2 linked regions of the Danio rerio genome follow. The protein of the gene in region 2 purifies or fractionates together with the protein of the main gene of each other region. This does not show direct contact. Links are inferred from orthologs where the notes say so. Each region holds a gene or a part of one and is shown on either strand. Other genes may lie near its edges.

Region 1 (11,529 bases), on a different chromosome or scaffold from region 2:
ATGTGCTGCTTTAGTTTTCTTTCCCTGATTAGGGAGTTAAAATTGGACAGTAAAAAGGCCTAAAATTTTGTTTTTGCCCATTGACTCCCTGTGCTCTAATCTAAAAAAAACAATGCGATTTTTTTCTGTCTGTTTGCAGCAATATCTAATGACAAAAACATACCCAAATCTCACTTGACAAAAAGATATATTACTCTAATGTGTCTGTCTGTTCAAAACAATATCTGATGGAAAGACATATCCAAAATCCCCTTGGTAAAAATCTATTAATCTAATGTAAAAATAAAATAGAGAGAGAAGAAGAAGAAGAAGAATTCTGAAGCTGATTTCCTTCAATGTTCTAATTTTTGTGTTAGAAATCTATGCAAAACAGTGCATATTTGTTTAAATTATGCCTTATTTGCTTGTTTAATCATATATAAACAATCAAATAACTAAAAAAAGTGTGGTGATGCCAATATTTTTTACACTATTTATTAGCAGCGTCTCCTTAAAAACTGGTCATGAAAACAAAACATATAACCACGGGCGCTGCTAGGGGGAAAAGTTAGGACCATTCCAAGGACCCACGCCGTTTTGGGGGCCCTAGAGTTACTATTAGTAACCATGTACAAAGTTGTACAATTCTACAAAGTTGTCATAGGGCCTGTACTGAACAGCAGCGCCCCTGTATATATCACTTCTCACCAACTCAGTTTTATATTTCCTTTACACAGCACCACCCAGTGCATTGAACTATAACTGCAGGATTGAGGTTGAAAAACTCAAGACTGATTTTGAGGGTGTTGTAGATGGCCTTAAAACTAACCCAGTCATACAAGTATAAAGAAATCAAATCACAGTCTGAATGCTGACCTTTTTTTTGGGCCTTGGAAACTGGAGGCTCATCAGAGCTAACTGCAGGTTCCTCATCTGTTCTGTCATCCAGCACACCTTTGTTCTTGTCATCCTTGGACAGAATTTCATCCAGGTTTCTGAGCTCCTCTGAGATCTGCTCCACTTTACGTTTGGTGTCAGCTGAGACAGAGAGAGAGGCAACGACAGATGTCTAGGTGCTAAAAATAATGAATCAATTGGAGAACAGAGTACAATTAAATGTAGGCTGATTGCATCTCCGGAGATCTAATCTAATAGGACAGAACTTGGCAGCGAGGGCATTTTTATGAATAGTGTAATGAGTGATAAGGAAAGAAATTGTGAATAAAAATATCTGATTATGATTCTGAAGGTTTCTATGCAAGTAAGTATACAGCACTGTATGTGTAAAAGGTGAAAGCAACAACTGTTGAATAATGAACGGAGTCACAATAGACTGGGCTTAATGCGCTGCCATAGCAATCCATATCCTGTTATTGTAATAGTAGTGTAATTAACATTTGACAGCATATAGGTCATCTCTCCTGGGTGAGCAGGGTTATAGCTAGTTAAAACCACTAGCACAAAATTAATGCTGTTACTTGATGAAATAACATCAACTCAAACAATATAATACATTTTTTTTCTGGTAAATTTCCTAAGATATATTTTACTTTTTGTTTTGTATAAATTAAAATAAATAAAATCAAAATTACAAAAAATACAGAGACAATTAATAAACACAATCAAGGCGGAAGAAAAACCATACAACAAAAATATAAAATATATAAATAATATCTTTAATTTCGATCAGTTTGATTTTACCTGTTAAAAAGTAATTAAACAGTATACAAATACAAAAACATGATTAATTATTTTAATTGATATATTATTGATATAATAAAAAAATAATACAATTTTTAAATTTATTAACTGATTTTTAAATGCATTAACTCATCTTTTAAACACAAAATATATCCTCCTCAACATCTCACAGTCATGCAGTAAAGTGAAGGATTCTTTGGAGACTCTTGACAACCATATAAACAGCAAATTAAGTGTAGCTAATTAATGTCATGTTAACAGAATCACAGCAAAATCATTTGTAACATTGGATATTTTCACCAATCGATCCCTAAATTACAGTGCCTTGATGTAAAGTAAAAAAAATCATCACCTCTCATACTTACAGACTTGAGCCTTGACGTAGTCCATGTACTGCTGGGCACTGAGAGCAGGTTGGCACACAATGCCTTGTGGTTTGGCAGTGGACGGTGGGCGCAGAAGGGGATGCTGGCACGTGCGAGAGGTGTGGACTGTCAAGACGTAGCGGCAAGACTGGGGTTCATCCACCCGTGAAATGAAGTCAGTAGAGCCTTCCTCACACACAAACTGTTAAAAACACAATATACATATATAGATTATCATTGCCATTAGATTAAAATACAATTCTATGTTGCTGATGTAAACTACTGGGGTCCGTTCTTTGTACCTCGCTTAAACAAAGATAATCTGACAGATCCTGGATCTTTTAATCATGATAACTGGTCTCTGGCTGATTTGGTTCTTCAAACAAGTTTGTGAATCAGATCTGAGATTATTGCATGTGCTTGTTGTAAAGGACAGATCTATCTAGCCTCAATTTGATCTACCTAGGATTGATCCATTTAAGGATCTATCTAACCTTAAATTGTGTGTGTGTATGTATGTATGTATGTATGTATGTATGTATATATGTATGTATATATATGTATATATATATATATATATATATATATATATATATATATATATATATATATATATATATATATATATATATATATATATATATGCATTACTTGAGGTCTAATGAGCTCAACATCTGTATAGTGAAGGTATTCTACAGTGTGTGTGCATACAGCAGCAGAATTAAGAAGACTAGTCACAACAGTTAACTAGTGTCCTTATTGTTTATTGTTAGCCATTAGACTGACTTCAATAATACTCTTTCTTCATTATTTTTCTCTATAGTCTGGAATATGGCACTTAGTATCTTACTCTGACTTCCGTCTCTCTGGGACTGCCGTTTAAGTCACATTTTGAGCCATTGACATATGACTGACTGTGATACCTCTTCAGCTTATGCTGCTTAGATGCCTGAAAAAAAAAGATCAACAAGATTTTAATTTTGTAACTACAAAATATATAGAAGATAACTACAGACTTGTTAACATAAAAGTGGTTAATAAAAAATATTTACTGCTAGTATCAGAATTCCTAATTTGAATTGACAACATTTACAGACATTTTATTAGGACAAGCAAATCAAGATTAACAAACCTGACCTTACCTTTGCAGTTTCATTCGTCCAGTCAAACTCTGTATCATAATATCCCAAAAACAGTACATCTCCCTTGATCTCCGAATCTGCGATCACATATAGGGAACACATTTCAAACATCTTGAAATATTTAATAGTATATATTTATAGGCAGTGCATTTTCCTGAAAGGCTTCTGTCCTAAATTCTCTAAATTCCTTTCCATCTACTAATAAAAAACATGTTTATACAGGCAGTGCATATATATTTTTTAGACCATGTAAAACTCAATTTATCCAAGACACATTAGATAAAAGATTTAACCTGCCTTCTAAGTGGTATTGTCTGATGTGCTGGCCGTAGCAGAACTCATAGGTCCACCAGTCTTTGGTCTGCAAACAAAACATGAACAAGCTTCAGATCACAGCGACATGTAGTTTATCATTTTAACATGACCTAAAATGACTATAAATGTACATCATTTATTACGTCTTAATTTACACATACTCTACATAGCCACTCCAAATGTGCTTTTTTTTCAAAACAACATTTTTGATTGAGAGAATATGATCAGAGAGAACAGTTTTTACTTTATTACTACAAACTTTTACACAAAACAGAAAATTCTGTCATCAATTACCCACTCTTCACTTGTTCCAATCATGTTTGACTTTCTTCTGATAAACACAAAATAAGATATTTAGAAAAAAGCTGGAACCATTCATTTCCATAGTATTTGGTTTTCTTACCATGAAAGTCAGATGTTGCTGGTTGCAAACTTTCTTAACAATGTTTTTATTTTGTTTGAAACCACACGAGGGTGAGTAAATTTTTATTTTTGAGACTCTTTAAGTACCTGCACTTTATTGGGGTATTTTATTATGGGAATCTTTTGCTTAACTGCAAAGCATAATATTTGACTTTTTACACCCTTATATTTGTTAAAAAATGTGTTATATTTATTTATATTCAATTTGCAAATCGCACTGAACCATTTATTTTTAACTGAAGTGGACAATTCTCAAGTCTGAATGGAAGATGCTTTAAGACTGACTCAACTGTAAATTAAAATATAATTTATTCTAGTTAATGGAGTTTACTTTAAACACGCACTTCAGTTTTTGTCAGCTTCTGCTTTGAATTCTTGAGCTTTGGCTGTCAATATGTTAATTTTTTTCAGAAGTTTTATAAAACTATATCTCATGATTATACAATAGTTATCGTTGTTGGCGTAAATGGGAATTTAGACCATTTTTGTATAGTTGTTTTAATATGCAGGAATATATGCTGTATTTTATTATTGGCTGCACACTTGCATTATGATTATCAAATAATTTTTATAGAACATTATACTATAATGGCCGAGAGAGCTTAACATGGTGCAATTTTAAGAAAGCACATGCAATTACAAAAAATGGTAATTAATTAGGAACAGATGTTCATCCGTTTGACAGCACATGTGACGCAAATCCTCACAACGGAAACACATTTTTAAAAAAACATTGCATTCTCACAACACAAACAAATTAATAAAATGTGCTGCATTTTCTTACAACGCATTCAAATAGCCTCGTAACACAACGGAAATGTTTCAAGGGGATCTAAATCATGAGAGACCTGGATATTTAGGTTTTGGCTATTTAGGATAATAACTACTAAAGACAAGGGAATCAGGATGTTCCAATAAACAAACCAAGAGAACTCACCTTTCAACAATCACCTACAATTTCAATGAGCAATAGGCATGGCACAGAAGCGCCTGTCACATTCATGGGTCCACCTGAAACATTTCCATTGTGTTCTGATGTATTGCGTTGAGAGAGAATGCAGCAGGTTTTCGTAAATCGTTTGTGTTTTGTGAAAATGAAGCACATTTTTAATGTGTTTGCGTTGTGGGGATTTGCACCATGTGTGCTGTCAAATAGATGAAGATATTTTTCTTAATTTACTGGCGGTTTTTTGTAATTCCTTTTGTTTTCTTAAACTGCAGCACATCAAGCTCTCTCTGCCACCGTAATATACATTAAAAGAATATTAGTAATCAAAAAAAATGTTTCTTGTAAAATAAACATTCAGCAGCCAGTACTTAGTAATAATATGTTCATTTTAAGACTAAACTACATCAAAAGCACTTTCAAACTTTTATTGGAGTCATATTTTATTATTATTTTTAATTTGTGTGCTTCATCCACCACTCCAGACTACACAACTTCTAATATCTATCTAGATCTGTGCCTGTGGATGAGTATATTCAGAGCTTGTGTATATTTAGTGTGCGAGTGACTGTGACAGAAACTACCTTAATCAGACATGCTGCCGTCTGCATGGGCTTGAGGAGCTCAGGGACCCCGGGGCCGCTGTAACCCTGCACATCAGGCTCTGACACCGGGTCCTGATGGAAACGCACTGCCTGAGCTGGTAAACGACACTCATACAGCTGCTTGTATTTGTTAGAGACCAACATTACATCTTCCATCTGAAAACAGGAATAGAAAGTCAAAATTAGAAAAGCAGAACTAGGGAGAGGTGCAACAGTTTACAACACAATCAAAAATGTAACTTCACCATGCTCATTTTCAACATATATATTAAAGTCATATTGTATTTACAATCAGGCACAATCTGTAGCATACCTGTGGAGGCACAGTCCAACTAACGTTATGCTAATAACCTGTCACAGCTAATTTACCATTCTTTAATTTAGCTATTGTTTTACTATCCTATATTCGACTATTAGACACCGAAACACGTAGTTGTTAATGGCAAATGTGCCATGCTGTGCTTAAAGCTAACAGCTGTTTGTTTGTATCAAACAAACATCCCCAGCTAGCTGCATCCCACAATCCTACCTGTCCCATGATAACAGGATCGGGGAGAATCTGTATGCCATATTTCATTTCGTTTAATTCTTCTAGATTCAAAAAGGCAAAGACAGACAGGAGACATGTTAAGAAAAACACATATAATCCTCTTAACCACTTAATCAAGGAGGAAGCCATAGTTCTCTCATATCGCAAACAAGCGTTGTCAAATGATTTGTTATTTGGTGCATGGCAGAGCGCTCTAGGGAACGTGGATTGGACAACGTTGTTAAAAGCGGACACCTTATTGGATGTTCAAAACGTCAGTCATGTTCAAAACGTGCGCTTATTGGAAAGCGTGTTGTAATTACCACCCATCATCCACGAAAATGAGTTCTATTGGACCCGCTGAGAACATGATAAGCAATGTAGTGTTACGTTTTAGACTCACGGGGCCGCTGTGGAACACATGAGAACCGCAGCCTGTCAAAATGATGAGAACACACACTGAAGTTTGAGATGGTGCTTTTGTCAAAATCTAACAAGTGAGAAATACACTCTGTAAGTGAGAAATATAAAGATAAAGTAAAATGTAATGTAGATTTTAGCAATAAGCAAACCACATATTAAGATGACATCCTTGACTTAAATATGATTAATTAGTTAATTATGATAAAGTTATTACACTAACATTCATTCATTTTCTTGTCGGTTTATCCCTTTATTAATCTGGGGTCGCCACAGTGAAATGAACCACCATCTTATCCAGCAAGTTTTTACGCAGCGGATGCCCTTCCAGCCACAACCCATCTCTGGGAAACATCCACACAGACATTTACCCACACACTCATACACTACAGACAATTTAGCCTACCCAATTCACCTGTACCACATGTCTTTGGACTGTGGGGGAAACCAGAGCACCCGGAGGAAACCAACAAGAAGGCAGGGAGAACGTGCAAACTCCACACAGACACGCCAACTGACCCGAGGTTCAAACCAGCGACCCAGCGACCTTCTTGCTTTAAGGCGACAGCACTACCTACTGCGCCACTGCCTCGCTTATATAGCGCTTTTTTTGGACACTCAAATCGCTTTACACATTTTTGGGTGAATCTCCTCATCAACCACCAGTGTGCAGCATCCAGATACCATTGACGCGACGGCAGCCATATTGCTCCAGTCCAAACCGCACACCAAACATCAGCTGATTGGTGGAAAGGAGACAGAATGATGAAGCCAATTATGATGGGGAGGAGGCCATGATGGACTAAAGCCAGTGGGGAGTTTTGGCCAGGATACCTGGTTTTAACCCCTACACTTTTTTGAAGGACATCCTGGGATTTTTAATGACCACAGAGAGTCAGGATCTCGTTTTAACGTCTCATCCGAAAGATGGCATGTTTAGGTTATTCATTAGCAGTTGAAGTTGAAGTTGTCCAGATGCAAAACATTTTTCTCATCCTCCTTTGTTTATGTTGAGATATTTCACTTTAGGCTAAAGACCATAAAAAGATGTAGCCTATCCTTTGCCATAAACGTTATATTACTGAATCTACACAAAATTCAGATGGTATTAAGAAGATATTGCATCTGAACTCTTCAGTTTTTTTCAAAGTGAATAATGAAACGGAATAATTGAAACATACAGAGATAAAGTCTAGGTGCAGTTTTTTTTTCTTTTTTTTACTGCTGGCAGTACATTACATTTTACAGCAGGGAGCACTTATGAAAATAATATTTTTTTTCGCTATGTAAAGAAATCTAAGTTAAATAAGTTACATATACTATACAGCCCACAATTGGGGCAAAATTTTAAAATGTTAAACTTTATTTGAAAAAAACAAAGGTTTTTTTGTGAATACATCGTCAGTGAATTAAAGACGTTAGAATCATGGCAAGAAAATTTAACAACTAAATGAAAGTGAGGCATTGAGAATAACCAAAGGAAACCTCACAGAACAGTGTCAATTGTGTCAATCAGTGTCATTTTTAAACCTGATCATGACTTTTTCCTTCGGCTTCGGTCCCTTTATTCATCAGGGGTCGCCATAGGAGTATGAACTGCTAACTTATATGTTTTACACAGCGGATGCCCTTCCAACTGCAACCCAGTACTGGAAAACATCCATACTCACTCATTTACAGGCATATAATACGGCCAATTTAGTTTATTCAATTCACCTATGGAGCATGTCTTTGGACTGTGCGGGACACCGGAGCACCAGGAGGAAACACATGTGAACACGGGGAGAACATGCGAACGCCACACAGAAATGCCAACTGATCCAGCCGGGGCTTAAACCGGTGACCTTCTTGCTGTAAGGCGACAGTGCTAACCACTGCACAATCATGTCATTGGCTATGACTTAAAAATAATAACAAATATTTTTCTCTGATTTATGTTAAATTATTTTTTTCATGTTTGCTCAAGTGTGGGTGTGTGTGAACTTCAGAAACTGAATGTGTATCTGCATATTTTGTCCACTGTAGACAGCATCATTGATTACAATGATTTGCTTTTGACATTATGCCCTCGCATCTGGTGTGCTGATTCTCAGTAAGCTGGGCCTTTTGTATAATAATATAAAGCCGATCTATCAGGATTTTCTAGTGGAATAGATTGAGAATTTTATTTAGAGATCTGTTTCCAATAGTGACACCACACTTTTACATGGGATACACCAGATGCCCCTACAAAGGAAATTGAACAAAGGATACTTCAACAGAAGAACGCATGGACTAGCATTAACTTGACATTAACTTGACATCAGTAATAGAAGGAGGAAGAACAGGAGTGGCATCTAAAACAATATCAAGGATGCAAGAGTAGCTAGTGAAGTTGAGGAGGGCAGCCAGCCTGTGCAGGACTGGAGAAATCAACCAGGAAGAGTTCTGTTTTGAAGAAATAGGAATCTCAAAAAAAAAAAAAAAAAAAAAAATAGCACAGCTGGACTGCTGAAGGACATCAGGAAGCAACATCTAAAAGAAGCCTGACTGGAAATGGAAGTAAAGGTAATGTAGGTGAAAGTGACAGACCAAGTTGCTTCAGTGGACCTGGCAGAGCAGGCCAAATTGGCAGAGCAAGCAGAGCAATGACCTTAGCATGAGTCGACTGAGTCTTGAATGCTTGAACAGAGCTAGCAGAGTTGAGAGACTTGAATAGGGCAATCAGTGTAAGACATGGGTGGCTTGAGCTGACTGATGGGTTTTGTCAGGGTTTTAGAAGAATGTGGTGAGCCCCCAAATGCAGAGATCTTGATCAGGCAAGTCAGATAAAGACAAGTCAGATAAAGATCTGAAGATCTGTCTTACTTTTTGTTTAAAGCAGAATTCATAATTCTTTATTTGACTGGGTAGACCGTGCTTTCAATCTGAGTTGGCCAGTGCCACCACTGTCACATAAGGTTTTGTAAACAATTAAATTATTTTCAAATTAACATATTTGTTAAGGCTTATTGATTGGATCAATTAAGTTTGTTCATTTAAAGTGCAGACTGTCAATGCCATGTACTTTTTTGATAGATCCCTGCAGGACTGTCACTGAACTTCTCTCCAGGCTGATTCCCTGCGTATACTTTCAGTTCAGGACAAACAGCATCCCTGCAGCTACAAAAAAAGTGGTTTAGAAATTGATCTTTTTATGGCATGTGTCACATGACCAGATCATTCCATCCCAAAAATCATTCCTTTGCTTAATGATGTGTGTAAAAGGGTATGATCTATTATTAATGCTCATGGTAAATTACACACTAAGAATAGTTCTAAAATGGAGTTTTCATGGTGATGCTGTAGAAGACATTTAGGGTTTACTAAAATAATTTTTAGTAATTTGCTCTTCAAATAACTATGTTTGACATTTTTTTTTATCATCTTAACTATATTTTTACACATTGAAGAGTGTGCAACACAAAGCTTATGGATGTCAAACGGGAACCACTGGTAGCCTATTAAAGAAGCTTTATTTTAAAGATCTAAATCTTGTTTCAGGTCAAATGTGTGACTATTGGAAAATATCAGTTTCATTTTAACAAGTAACTTATCAAGTAGACCCAGAACATCTGCGTTGTTCTCAATAACAGCATAGTGACAAAATGGGTAACGAAAAAAAAACGCAACATTTTTAAAGACAAGGAATGTTTGTTTTTATTCTTTAAGAATTAAACTCAGATTAGTTCATTAGGGGTTTATGATCCATCCAAGCCACTTCTCGGAGCGCCAAGGCGTGAGCGCGAGCGCGTGTGAAGCTGCATCATTCTCTCCTCCTCTCCGTCTCTCCCTCATATGCGCGCATTTCTCCGCGCTGCAGCCCTCCATCGTTATTCACAGAGGGGGTTGCCCGACTCCTCTCCCATCTCCTCCATTCCGTCTCAGAGGTGGATGCCATGCCATCAGATTTTCTTCATTTATCAGCTGTTTGCGTTCACATGACAAGCCCGCCGGGGGTGTTTTAAGGGTAGGAGATCCCTCTTGGTGGCGACATTACAGGTAAGATTTATTTGAACGCGATCGCTCGCTCATCCGCCCTGATGTGATTAGCACCGATATCATTTTCTCAGTCACATTTGTTTGTTTCTGCTCCACGATTAAGTGCATGCACTGAAATAAGCACCGCTTAATGAATTGATCGTCTCTCAGCTTCTGGTGTTTGCAATGGACGTGATTCAGATTCCAATATAGGCTATATTTGTAACAGGATTGCGGTTCTTGATTGCCTAACGGAATTCTGCTGTGGATGATGTGACATATGGCAACAACAGGCCGAGGGGCTATCGGTACCTCTGTGTATTGCTGTACAGACGGCAGGGTGGGCTTTAAACTGCGGAATTTGCTCGTTATGATGCACTCTAAATTACTATATTGTGTCTCAGACAGCGCCGCGGCCTGTGTGTGATAGTTTACATCGGGCTGGGAATCACCGCACACTGGCCTGCTGGAGCCTAGACTACACCTCATTAGTATATCAGAAGGGAAGCCGCATTCGTTTGGCTATTAAGCACACTCAACAGGGCTGCCCTTGGATTTATCTCTATAGCAGTGGATGGACGTGTAGGTGCAAATGATAAATAAGCCTTTTGTTGCGTTAGTTGCGCACTGCTGTTTTTTTCTTTCAAATTTTTAATAAATAGACTATTTAGGCCTGTTTGATTAGCTGGTTTGTTTGTCTCTAGATGCTTCCAGAATATTTATGATATTAGAACTTTTGTTTTCTTTTTGGAGCTTTATTGGAAGTTTTGTCACAAAAAAAAAAAAAAAATCTAAACGCACTCACTAAGATTTTTATTTATTCTATTTATTTTTTTCGACTTAGTCCCTTTATTAATGGGGTATCCAGCATATGTTTTACACAGTGGATGCCCTTTCAGCTGCAGCCCATCACTGGAAAAAAACCCACACACTCATTCACGCACATACACTATGAACAATTTAGTTTACCCAATTCACCTATAGCACATATCTTTGGACTTGTGGGGGAAACCAGAGTACCCGAAGGAAACCCACGCAAACATTCAAACTCCACACAGAAATGTTAACTGACTCAAACAGGGCTCGAATCAGCGACCTTCTTGCT
Region 2 (9,678 bases):
AGTCCGAGAGCTGGGCATCAATCCCAGCGAATGCTCCTTTAATCCAGGTGTTTTTGTGGCGGACGTTGGTGAATGGCAAAGGCAAAAGATAACCAAACAGCTGGAGAAATGGATGGCTAAGAATTTCAGGTGATATATTGGTTCATATTGAGCTCCAATAAAAGATTTTGGAGATTTCTTAAATTTCTTTTCTTATGTGGTTGTAGGGAGAATCTATATAGCAGTGCAGTGGCAGGTGGTGTGGCCACTCCTCCAATGCTCATCGTTTTTCATGATAAATTCACAACCATTGATCCACTGTGGCACATCAGACATCTGGGTAATGAATTGTTTTTAATGAATGCTACATCTCACAAAAAAACCCAACTCCAATTAATGTTGTACAAGTTAATCTGATAAATATTATGCTACATAAACTACATTTAAATTAATTAAATTTAAAAAGTTTAACATATAACCTTTATTTGGATGCACATTTTTAAAGTTGAGAGTACTTCAATATTTTATTATATACACCATTATTGTAAATTAAATTTTGAAATTAAAAACCCCCATTTAACAAAGCATTCAATTTATAAAAAATTTATAGTATAAACCTTTATAATGTCTGTAACTAATCATGTGGTTCAAATTATTTCTGTCATTAGTCTATTCAATTCTGAAATGTGCCATTTTGCAGCACAAAAAAAAAAAAAAAAAAAAAAAAAAAAAACCAGCAAATCAGCATATTAGAATAATTTCTGAAATATACTAGACAAGTACTGATGCTGAAATATTTAACAGTCACTGTCATTCTTAACGTTGAAATTTAAATGAAGGTCCATCTACCTATTAGTCTGCTGAAATTCTTTTCTCCTTTATTCAGAAATTTTGTAAATCTTGTAAACTTAACTACAGGTTAAAGTTCTCAGACCTCATTTGTGAGCTTTGAATAAAAGCATCTGCCAGTTGAATTAAAGGAAACATCTGCTTGGGTTTTCTTTAGGCTGGAGTCCTGATACACGGTATCCCAAGACATTCCTCAAAAAGGCAAAGCTACTACACTGGAACGGCCAATTCAAACCCTGGGACTACCCCTGCGTCCATCTAGACCTCTGGGAAAAGTGGTATATCCCAGACCCCACAGGAAAATTCACGCTGGTACGACCTAGACTGAAAAATCCTTAAAGGGACAGATCACCAAAGAGTCAAGTTACTCATCCTTTGAGTTTCAATCTAGAGAGTTTCCTTAAAACAAGATGATATTTAGAAAAAAAATGTTCCCACCTGTAACCAGTGACTTGCACATTACAAACAGATACTATGGAAGTTAATGGTTACAGGTTCAGCTCTTTAAAATATTCTTGTGTGCAACAGAAGACAGCTTTTGAAGCACAAGTGTAAAAATTGAGTAAACTGTGTGAACTATCCCTTTAAATTCAAACTGGACTTTAATCAAAGCACTATTGATGCTGCTAAAATATCCTAAAATGTTATTTAATAGAACTGGTTAACATGACGCAAATTAAGAAATTGCACACAAAAATCCTTTTCCGGAAACATTTAATCGTTCTGTGGACAGGAGTCAGCACTCCACAACTGGGTCAGTTAAATATTAACAAATTTACAATCATGGAGGAATGTAAAAAAAGAAATTGCAAACACAAAAGCAGCGCTTTAAAAAAAACAGCTCCTATCCCCCAAGCCCACCCGCACAGAGAAAAGACAACCGCGTTGACGTCGCCATCTTCACTCTGCATCACAGTCAGACACCCCTTCCCATCCCTTCCAAATTTACACATTACAGCTCATCTTTGGATGTGGCCTCCTGAAACGCAGAGAACATACATATTCAGATATATGAAGACCAGAATTCCAGCTCCTAAAGAGACTTTTGTTTGGAAGGGCACTCACTGATTCCTCTTCTGCTTCATCTGCCTGGACCTCCTCCTCATCCTCAGCTTCCTCTGTCTGTTCTTCTGGTTCCTCCTCTGGCTCTTCCTCTACCTGTAGATGCAACAACAGGATTCTAAGTGTCCTGGTTCTGGGAGTTCCATTAATAAAATCAAGCTCAGTCTGAATGTTTCCGATACCAGGAGATAGACTTATTACATAAAGCAGAGATCTTCACAAGCAGACCTTCAGAATAATCTGATGCTTGATTTGAACATCCATACCTGAGCGTCAAGGTCTACATTCATGCTGAGCCGCAGCATGCGCTCTATTCTTTCTCCGTAGGCTTTGGTGTCTTGGAGCTGGTATCCTGATCGCAGTGTGGCGGTCTCAAACAGCACTACGGCTAAATCTGCGGCCGTCTTATCCTCAGCGTCTTCCTACAACACAAAATGCACAATATATTCATTTGAAATAAGATTGAAGGCACAATTTGCTAGGCTAAATGAGAACGCTTGACTTACGTTGACTCTCCTTAGCATCTCTTTGATGAGTGGATGTTTGGGGTTGATTTCTAATGTCTTCTTTTGGCTTGCATAATAACTAGAATGAACAATATGGGTTTAATTAGGATAAATGGTCATAGTGGTTACAGATTTTTCAATTTTCACATAACATGTTACATTCAATATAAAATATCCAAAATGTAGCAGAATGCAATCAACTCCCCACTTTATTTCAATGCCCCGTTTCTGCAATATTTACTTCATTGTTTTAACAAATGCATAACTTTAACAAGGGAAATGCGGCTAAATTTAAAGTGCTGTTCACAAGCTTGCATTTCCAGTTTTCCACGTTTGAAAGCACATAATAGGTGTAGTAACATTTACGATTGCATGAATTTATTGGACAATTCACACATCACCCACAAAACGCCTACTGTAATGGGATGTGTTGTGAAAATGTGCACCAAAACAATTTTTACATGTACATAATTATACAATTGTTAAAAAAAAAAAAAAAAAAAAAAGATTGCTCAATCATGGCCATCATCTGAATTTTTCCTTTGCTTGCAGTCTAAACAGAAGGGGGTCACGAGAACCCTATTTGTACACGAGTTGAAAATGTTAATGAGTCTTGGGTGACTCCTTTTGATTTGACCATGCATATTAAATTTTAGTTAGGAAGAGGGTCTAATACTTGTTCAAAAGACGTACTTTGTGGAAATGTCTTTTCCTGTCTGGTAAGCCTGAGCTTTCATGATACGTTCCATGTTTCCAGACCATCCATACTGACTGGCAACCAGAGCACATGGAGAGTTTGTCAACCTTTGGGACAAAACAGCCTTCTCGATCTGAAACAGAAGCACATCTTACTATTCATCTGCCACTTTATAATATGCACTACGATGTAATGACAAAATAATCATACTTGTTCCTTCAGGGCCTTATCTTTCATCCAGGTAGTAAGGGGCTCAAACTCTTTCTCCAAAGCTTCCCTCTTTTCCTTGGCCTTATCGCTCTCGTCGAACTTCACACCCTCCTTCGCCACGTTCTGGAAGCGTTTGCCATCAAACTCAGGAAGGGCCTGAATGCAGTACTCATCCACTGGTTCAGTCAGATAGACCACTTCATATCCTTTCTTAAGAAGCTTCTCCACAAATGGAGATGATTCAGCCTAAAAACCAGAAGACAAAATGTTACATGCTGCTACTGGAATACAGAAAGAGTTCTTAAGCAAGTATGGGTGAGATTTAAAAACCATTTAAGCACCTCCTTCCTGCTTGTTCCAGCCATGAAGTAGATCTTGTCCTGCTTCTCCTTCATCCTCTCCACATACTGCTCCAGACTGGACAGCACGGTGTCGCTGTGGGAGGTCTGGAAGCGGAGCAGTTTGGCCAGGCGGGTTCTGTTGGAGTGATCCTCAATCACGCCCAGCTTAATGTTGGTGCCAAACTCTTTCCAGAACTTATCGTTGTACTGCTCCTCAGCGATCTTCTTGATCATATCCAGGGTCTTGCGCACCAGCTTTTTACGGATAACCTGAAGAACAAAATGGGCAGTCATGAGTTTTGAAAGTTATTTAAATTTGCATGTTGTATTGCATTGCGTTTTACATAGTTAATGTTGCTTCGATAAGCAAACGTATAAACTCACCTTGAGCAGTTTGTGTTGCTGCAGAGTCTCTCTGGACACGTTCAGAGGCAGATCGTCAGAGTCCACCTAAGATCAAATTAAGCAAGATGAATCAAAAACAAATTAAAGATTTAGATTTTATACAGCTTTTTTTTTTTCATTACACCACCCGCTTTTGTTAGGAATATCTTAACTCTTAAGCATAAAATTTATTTTAAAAACAAAAATCCCATATATAGCGAGAAAATGCCATTTAGTCCACTTGTTATAGTATTTATATACAATTATAGCTTGTAGTATTATTAAAATGCAACGCATGAAATCCGCTGAAATAGAAGTGATCTTTACTTAAGTAGGGCCAGACAGAATCAGCGGACAGTTTTGCCATTTCTGCTAAGAATTTTGTAAAAAAAAAAAAAAAAATGTATGGGAAATAACTTTGGGAGTATCAAACCTAAAAAACTTAATACATGAAATGAAACAGTTAACGTTTATTTAATGTTTACAATGCAAATCCATCTAGATCTACTTGTTTGGTTAAAGTCTCTCATAATATCTCTACTAAAAGACAGAATATTACTTTACAAACTATTGTGAATAAAACAAACACATATATTAGTCAATATTACTGAAATTAATTAAAAACCTGAATGATTATACATATACACAAGTACATAAATGGACTCGATGGGCTAAAAATCTGCGGAGTTCTACGCACACAGATTCCATGTGGGCCAACTTTTAAGCCAATACACAGGCTAAATGGAACATTTAGCATTATGCATTGCCCAATGAAATGCTAAACTGAAAGACAGGCACTTACAACACCCTTGATGAAGTTGAGGTACTTGGGCATCATGTCATGGAAGTCATCAGTGATGAAGACTCTACGCACGAACAGCTAAATGAAACAAACAAGTCTAATTAGCAACTCGTACCAAAAACAAGTTCCCATTTCTCACTTAATGTTCACAAATTACCTTAATGAAGTCATTCTTCTTGGTGCCATACTCGTCAAAAAGACCTCTGGGTGCAGATGCAGGAACAAAGAGGATGGACTTGAAAGTGACTTCGCCTTCAGCGGTGAAGTGAATGTGTGACAGTGGCTCATCAGTGTCCTGAAATGACAACGATCCAATTGAACTGATCCAGAGGTCGCAGTGGACCATAAAAAGCTAACCATTTGTGCCACACACCGGTTTTACTCACCCTGGAGAAAGTTTTATAGAAGGCTGTATATTCATCTTCCTCCACTTCCTTTGCAGGTCTCTGCCAGATGGGTTTAATGTCATTCATCAGCTCCCAATCCCACACAGTCTTCTCCACCTAAAACAACAAATATTAATTAAAATTCACTGGAAAAAAAGTATAGGATAACTTCTAATGTTGGGTTGAATATCTCCATCTAAAAACCTTCTTAGTCTTTGGTTTGTCCTTGTCTTCCTCCTCTTCCTCAACTTCAGCTTCATCTTCAGTGGCTTCTTCCTTCTCTGCCTCAGCCTCATCCTCAATAGGCTCTTCTACGGTCTCGGTCTGGGAAATGACACAAATCAGTGAGTTTAAGAAGTCCAACATCTGGTTATGTTATAGTGTCTGGGGTCTTTTGTGAACAGACCTTGCTGCTCCATACGTAGATGGGGAAGTTGATGAATTGGGAGTATTTCTTCACCAGGTTCTTAATGGTCTCCAGCTCAAGGTAGTCAGAAGCTTCCTCTTTCATCACCAACCTAACAAACAAGTCACCTTATTAACAGTGTTGCAATCTATTTTTTTGTTTTTATAATATTTTACATTAAGGCTTAGAAACAAGTCATCTTAATGTTGCAATCCATTTTTTTTTACAATATTGTACATTAAGGCTGTAAAATATATTGTTACAGCTTTAATATCACAATGGTCAAAACACATGACCATTATTATTAGTTGCATCGCAAGATCATGAGTATAGTTGACCAGGATCCAGTTTAAAACACATGATTTCTTAAGTCACTGCAAATTAACCATAAAAAGCATCCAAAAAGTAAATTTTTTTTGTTAATAAAAAATTAAATGTATTTATATACACAAAACCCAGAGAAAACCATAAAGCACTGCGTGTTTTTATTTGTAACTTTGCTCTATTATATTCATCAATGCTTGTGATTGGCTTTATATGTAATGTAGATTCACTTCTCTATAAAATTATCCTAATCGGTCAATAATTATGAATTTTCCAATTAGAGCTACTTATTTCAACTGGTTATAATCACACTTAACACTATCTAATTTTTCCCCCAATATTATACAGCCCCGTTTCACATTCAACTGCTTACGTGATGGTGGTGCCTCTGCCTAGAGTGTCTCCACGTGGGTCCTCGATGACAGAGAACTGATTGGAATCAGATTCCCACATGTGCTGGGTGTCGTTGTTGTGCTTGGAAGTGACAATGACCTTATCGGCCACAAGGAAAGCGGAGTAGAAGCCCACACCGAACTGACCAATCAGCTCAGAGGTGGACTGACTGTCGTCCTGCACCTCTGTCATTTTGTTCAGGAACTCGCTGGTTCCAGATTTGGCGATGGTACCAAGGTTCTTCACCAGTTCTTCTTTGGTCATGCCAATACCAGTGTCAGTGATGTGAAGCATATTCTTCTCTTTGTCAGACTGATGAGAGAAGAGTCACACACATGCAGTGAATTTTAGAAGAGCTCTTTTTGATTGCTCTTTTAAAATCATTACCATGTTCTCTTCGTACAATTGATGCTTTTTAAGAATTATTAGCCATAAGCAATCCAGTTTATGTACTTAAAAATTAGTCAGGAGACCGATCACAATATTTTGCCTATTCATTTTTAAGAAAAAGCACACTAACAAGTATGTGCAGTGCATACGTGACCAGTATTGCGTAATCTCAAAAGCAGGTAAAGGATGTATTTACTAAAAGAAAATTTGCATGTTTAAAAGCTTTCGGTCTTACAATTAAGATAAGAAAATGAAAGGAAGAAAGGAAACGCTTCTCAGTCTGCTTCAAGCGCATTTGAATTTCTTTTGCAATGCAAATTCAGACCCAATGTTATATTTCTCTGTAAAACGGAGAGGGTTTCAGATCAGAAGGGTGGCAACACGCACCTTAATTTTAATAGTGAGCTCTTCATTTCCGGCAAGGGCATCTTCATTGGTCAGAGACAGCAGCCGGATCTTATCCAAGGCATCGGAAGCATTAGAGATCAGCTCTCTCAGGAAGATCTTTAGGATGGAAAAGTAAAAATTAGGACACCTTATGCAAAATTTGCAAAGACATGAACTATAACTTTAAACTTCTAACACTCACCTCTTTGTTCTTATATAGAGAATTGATGATCAGTTTCATCATTCGATTCACTTCTGCCTGGAACGCATGCTTTTCTGCTTTATCACGAATTTCCTTTAATTGTGAGGTGTTTAAACCATCTAGCTGAATGGCCTCCTCCTCCCTGTTAGAGATGAGATAGAAACATGAGTGCAAGGGATGCTTCACATATTCCATACTCTTGGGATTTGCCATTTACTCCTGGGTTTTGATAAGATGCATAAACAGATAAACCAGATGTCTAGCCCCACTGGGGATCATTTCTGGCCTTTATGAGGAGCTTTTAGTGACTACATCCAAATGTACCCTCATAAGAAATCAAGTGAGGTTTATTAAGCTTAAAATAGCAGCTAAGATTAGCTTAAAGGATTCATTTACCCCCACTTCAAGATCTGAGCCTAAATAAAGGTCACTAATTTTGGATAATTAAAATTATTGCTCCTTGATCTTTAAAACGAATGAAGTTCAAGTGCATACAAACCTCTGAACAACCTCGTCATCGGTGCGGGATCCGTCTCTGCTCTTCCCAAGGTCCTCTTCTACTGTGCCATCAATGTCAACATCATCATCAGCTTTTACAGATGCTGTAATTATGCAAAATATCAAAGATTAGGACAAAACCACAAATAAAGGGTGCGAGTTGATAAGCACTTTTAATTAACCCAGTAACTAATAGTAAAATAAATGCTGCACTTTGGCATAATTTTATTTGAATGAATGTTTGAGGACTTAGTTTCTAAGCTGGTTTGCTTGGCAAAAACCCCATTATGCACAACAAGGTTGCTTCTACTTGATATGCAAGTTTATATTGTGAAGTCAAATTTGATAAAAGGCCTTCCATATATACACACACGTATGAAGTGTACAGAAATGCTTTGGACTCCAGTGCAGATGATGTTTTTAAAATTACGAGTTAAATCATGTGACAATTAAACATGTTTCAAAATATCAGGTTGGGTTCCTTTGAACGTGAAATTAGATTGCATTGTTCTCAAACAATATTATGTAACTAATTAATCGTATATTTCATTAAATACAAGATCAAATGATTTAATTCAACCTGTCGCAATATAGCTATTATTGATAAGCAGCATATAATAATAATAAGAGGGCCAATTCAATAAGGAAACTTCCAGAAGCACATGCAAGTCAAATTCACTCTCCATGTTTTATTTCCCGTTCGAAACCATTCCAAAATTTAGGAATCGTTAGCATGGCTATACAAGAAGCATTGTTTAAACGTTTATTTCGAATTTTAAAGCATACATGGCAAAAAGAGGAACCGCACAAAGAAGGCAACAGTACAGCAAACACTGTCAAGTTCAAAGCCATCAAATATAATGCAAATCGGCGCATTTCACGGCCGTTTATTAAAATCTACTCACCGAACGCCAAAAGTGCACAGAGGAGACCGATAATCCACAGCCGCCTCATTGTTTTTGAAAGAAAAACGGTTTATTAATGAGACTCAATAGCAGATTAACGCCTTGAGCTTTTGCAGAGCCCTCCACGCCTCGATGAAGTGTTTCAGTGCGTGGACAGGGAGAGAGAAGTCGGCTTTATTAACTCATGCGCTCTAGGGCGGTGCTCTGCTGCTTTCAGCCATTCACTGCACCCCACGCACAACACCGCACCAACCAGAGAGCGATCCGCAGTCGGCGTCGCCCAATCAGCGTCTTACATGTCCGATCCTACACGCTCTATTCGTGGCTCGCGCTGATTGGCTTCACGGGATGTCAATTCATCGAGCGAGTTTTACATGAGGATTCGTCATAGACTGTAAAACTGTTCTGGGAACGGTTGTGGGTTTGTTTTCAGCTTTAAACAGAATGGGGAGGAAACGTAACTAGGCGATTCAGAATCAGATTTAAGTTACGTTTACCTTAGCAACCAGTTGTTGACCACTTCAAAGACTTCAAAGACAAGTTTTTAACCTAAAACGTTTGGTAGTTGAATAAATATAATGTTTTATTGTTTATTTAACTTGTGTTTTTGCATTTGTGTTGTTTAATGTAACTATAAATACTTCTGAAACTAGTATCTAGTTAATAATAGTTCAAAATAGTTCTGGAAAAAAATGCATGGATTAAACATCCAAGGAGAGGTTGACAGCCCGTCTCTTCAGCCTTACCTATGTTATGTTCCAGATGATCTCCAAGAAGATTTGTTTTACCTGAAATACAATATATTTTCTCATCTAGATGCACTTTGTCAGACAAGAGGAACCTGTTTCAGACCTATGGACTTGCAGAGGAGCAAACAAGACAGGGATGATGCAAATAATCATAAAAATGACTCTGATCTCTTTGACCAGCAGCTGAAAATCAGTTTGGATCTCGTAG

Evidence for each region.
Region 1: the proteins of hsp90b1 (region 2) and os9 purify together in Homo sapiens (affinity purification with mass spectrometry; 6 studies listed by BioGRID and IntAct, with this or other methods). This does not show direct contact. The link is inferred for Danio rerio from reciprocal best matches to the Homo sapiens genes HSP90B1 and OS9.

The regions. Positions count from the first base shown.
Region 1 is NC_133181.1:41,762,245-41,773,773, forward strand, and holds the start of os9 (protein OS-9), read right to left. Parts: upstream 6,186-11,529; 5' UTR 6,156-6,185; coding exon 6,006-6,155; exon of another isoform or gene 5,633-6,005; coding exon 5,456-5,632; exon of another isoform or gene 5,432-5,455; intron 3,549-5,431; coding exon 3,485-3,548; intron 3,265-3,484; coding exon 3,188-3,264; intron 2,995-3,187; coding exon 2,896-2,994; intron 2,248-2,895; coding exon 2,046-2,247; intron 1,018-2,045; coding exon 856-1,017; intron 1-855. UniProt on the Homo sapiens protein: Lectin component of the HRD1 complex, which functions in endoplasmic reticulum (ER) quality control and ER-associated degradation (ERAD).
Region 2 is NC_133179.1:10,398,213-10,407,890, reverse strand, and holds hsp90b1 (endoplasmin precursor), read right to left. Parts: upstream 8,854-9,678; 5' UTR 8,771-8,853; coding exon 8,722-8,770; intron 7,921-8,721; coding exon 7,818-7,920; intron 7,461-7,817; coding exon 7,319-7,460; intron 7,234-7,318; coding exon 7,117-7,233; exon of another isoform or gene 6,652-7,116; coding exon 6,320-6,651; coding exon of another isoform or gene 6,295-6,319; intron 5,735-6,294; coding exon 5,623-5,734; intron 5,541-5,622; coding exon 5,421-5,540; intron 5,334-5,420; coding exon 5,217-5,333; intron 5,126-5,216; coding exon 4,988-5,125; intron 4,909-4,987; coding exon 4,831-4,908; intron 4,095-4,830; coding exon 4,029-4,094; intron 3,915-4,028; coding exon 3,645-3,914; intron 3,550-3,644; coding exon 3,304-3,549; intron 3,227-3,303; coding exon 3,090-3,226; intron 2,476-3,089; coding exon 2,397-2,475; intron 2,313-2,396; coding exon 2,157-2,312; intron 1,987-2,156; coding exon 1,894-1,986; intron 1,808-1,893; coding exon 1,781-1,807; 3' UTR 1,526-1,780; downstream 1-1,525. Other genes in the region: glt8d2 (glycosyltransferase 8 domain-containing protein 2), read left to right, coding at 9,576-9,678.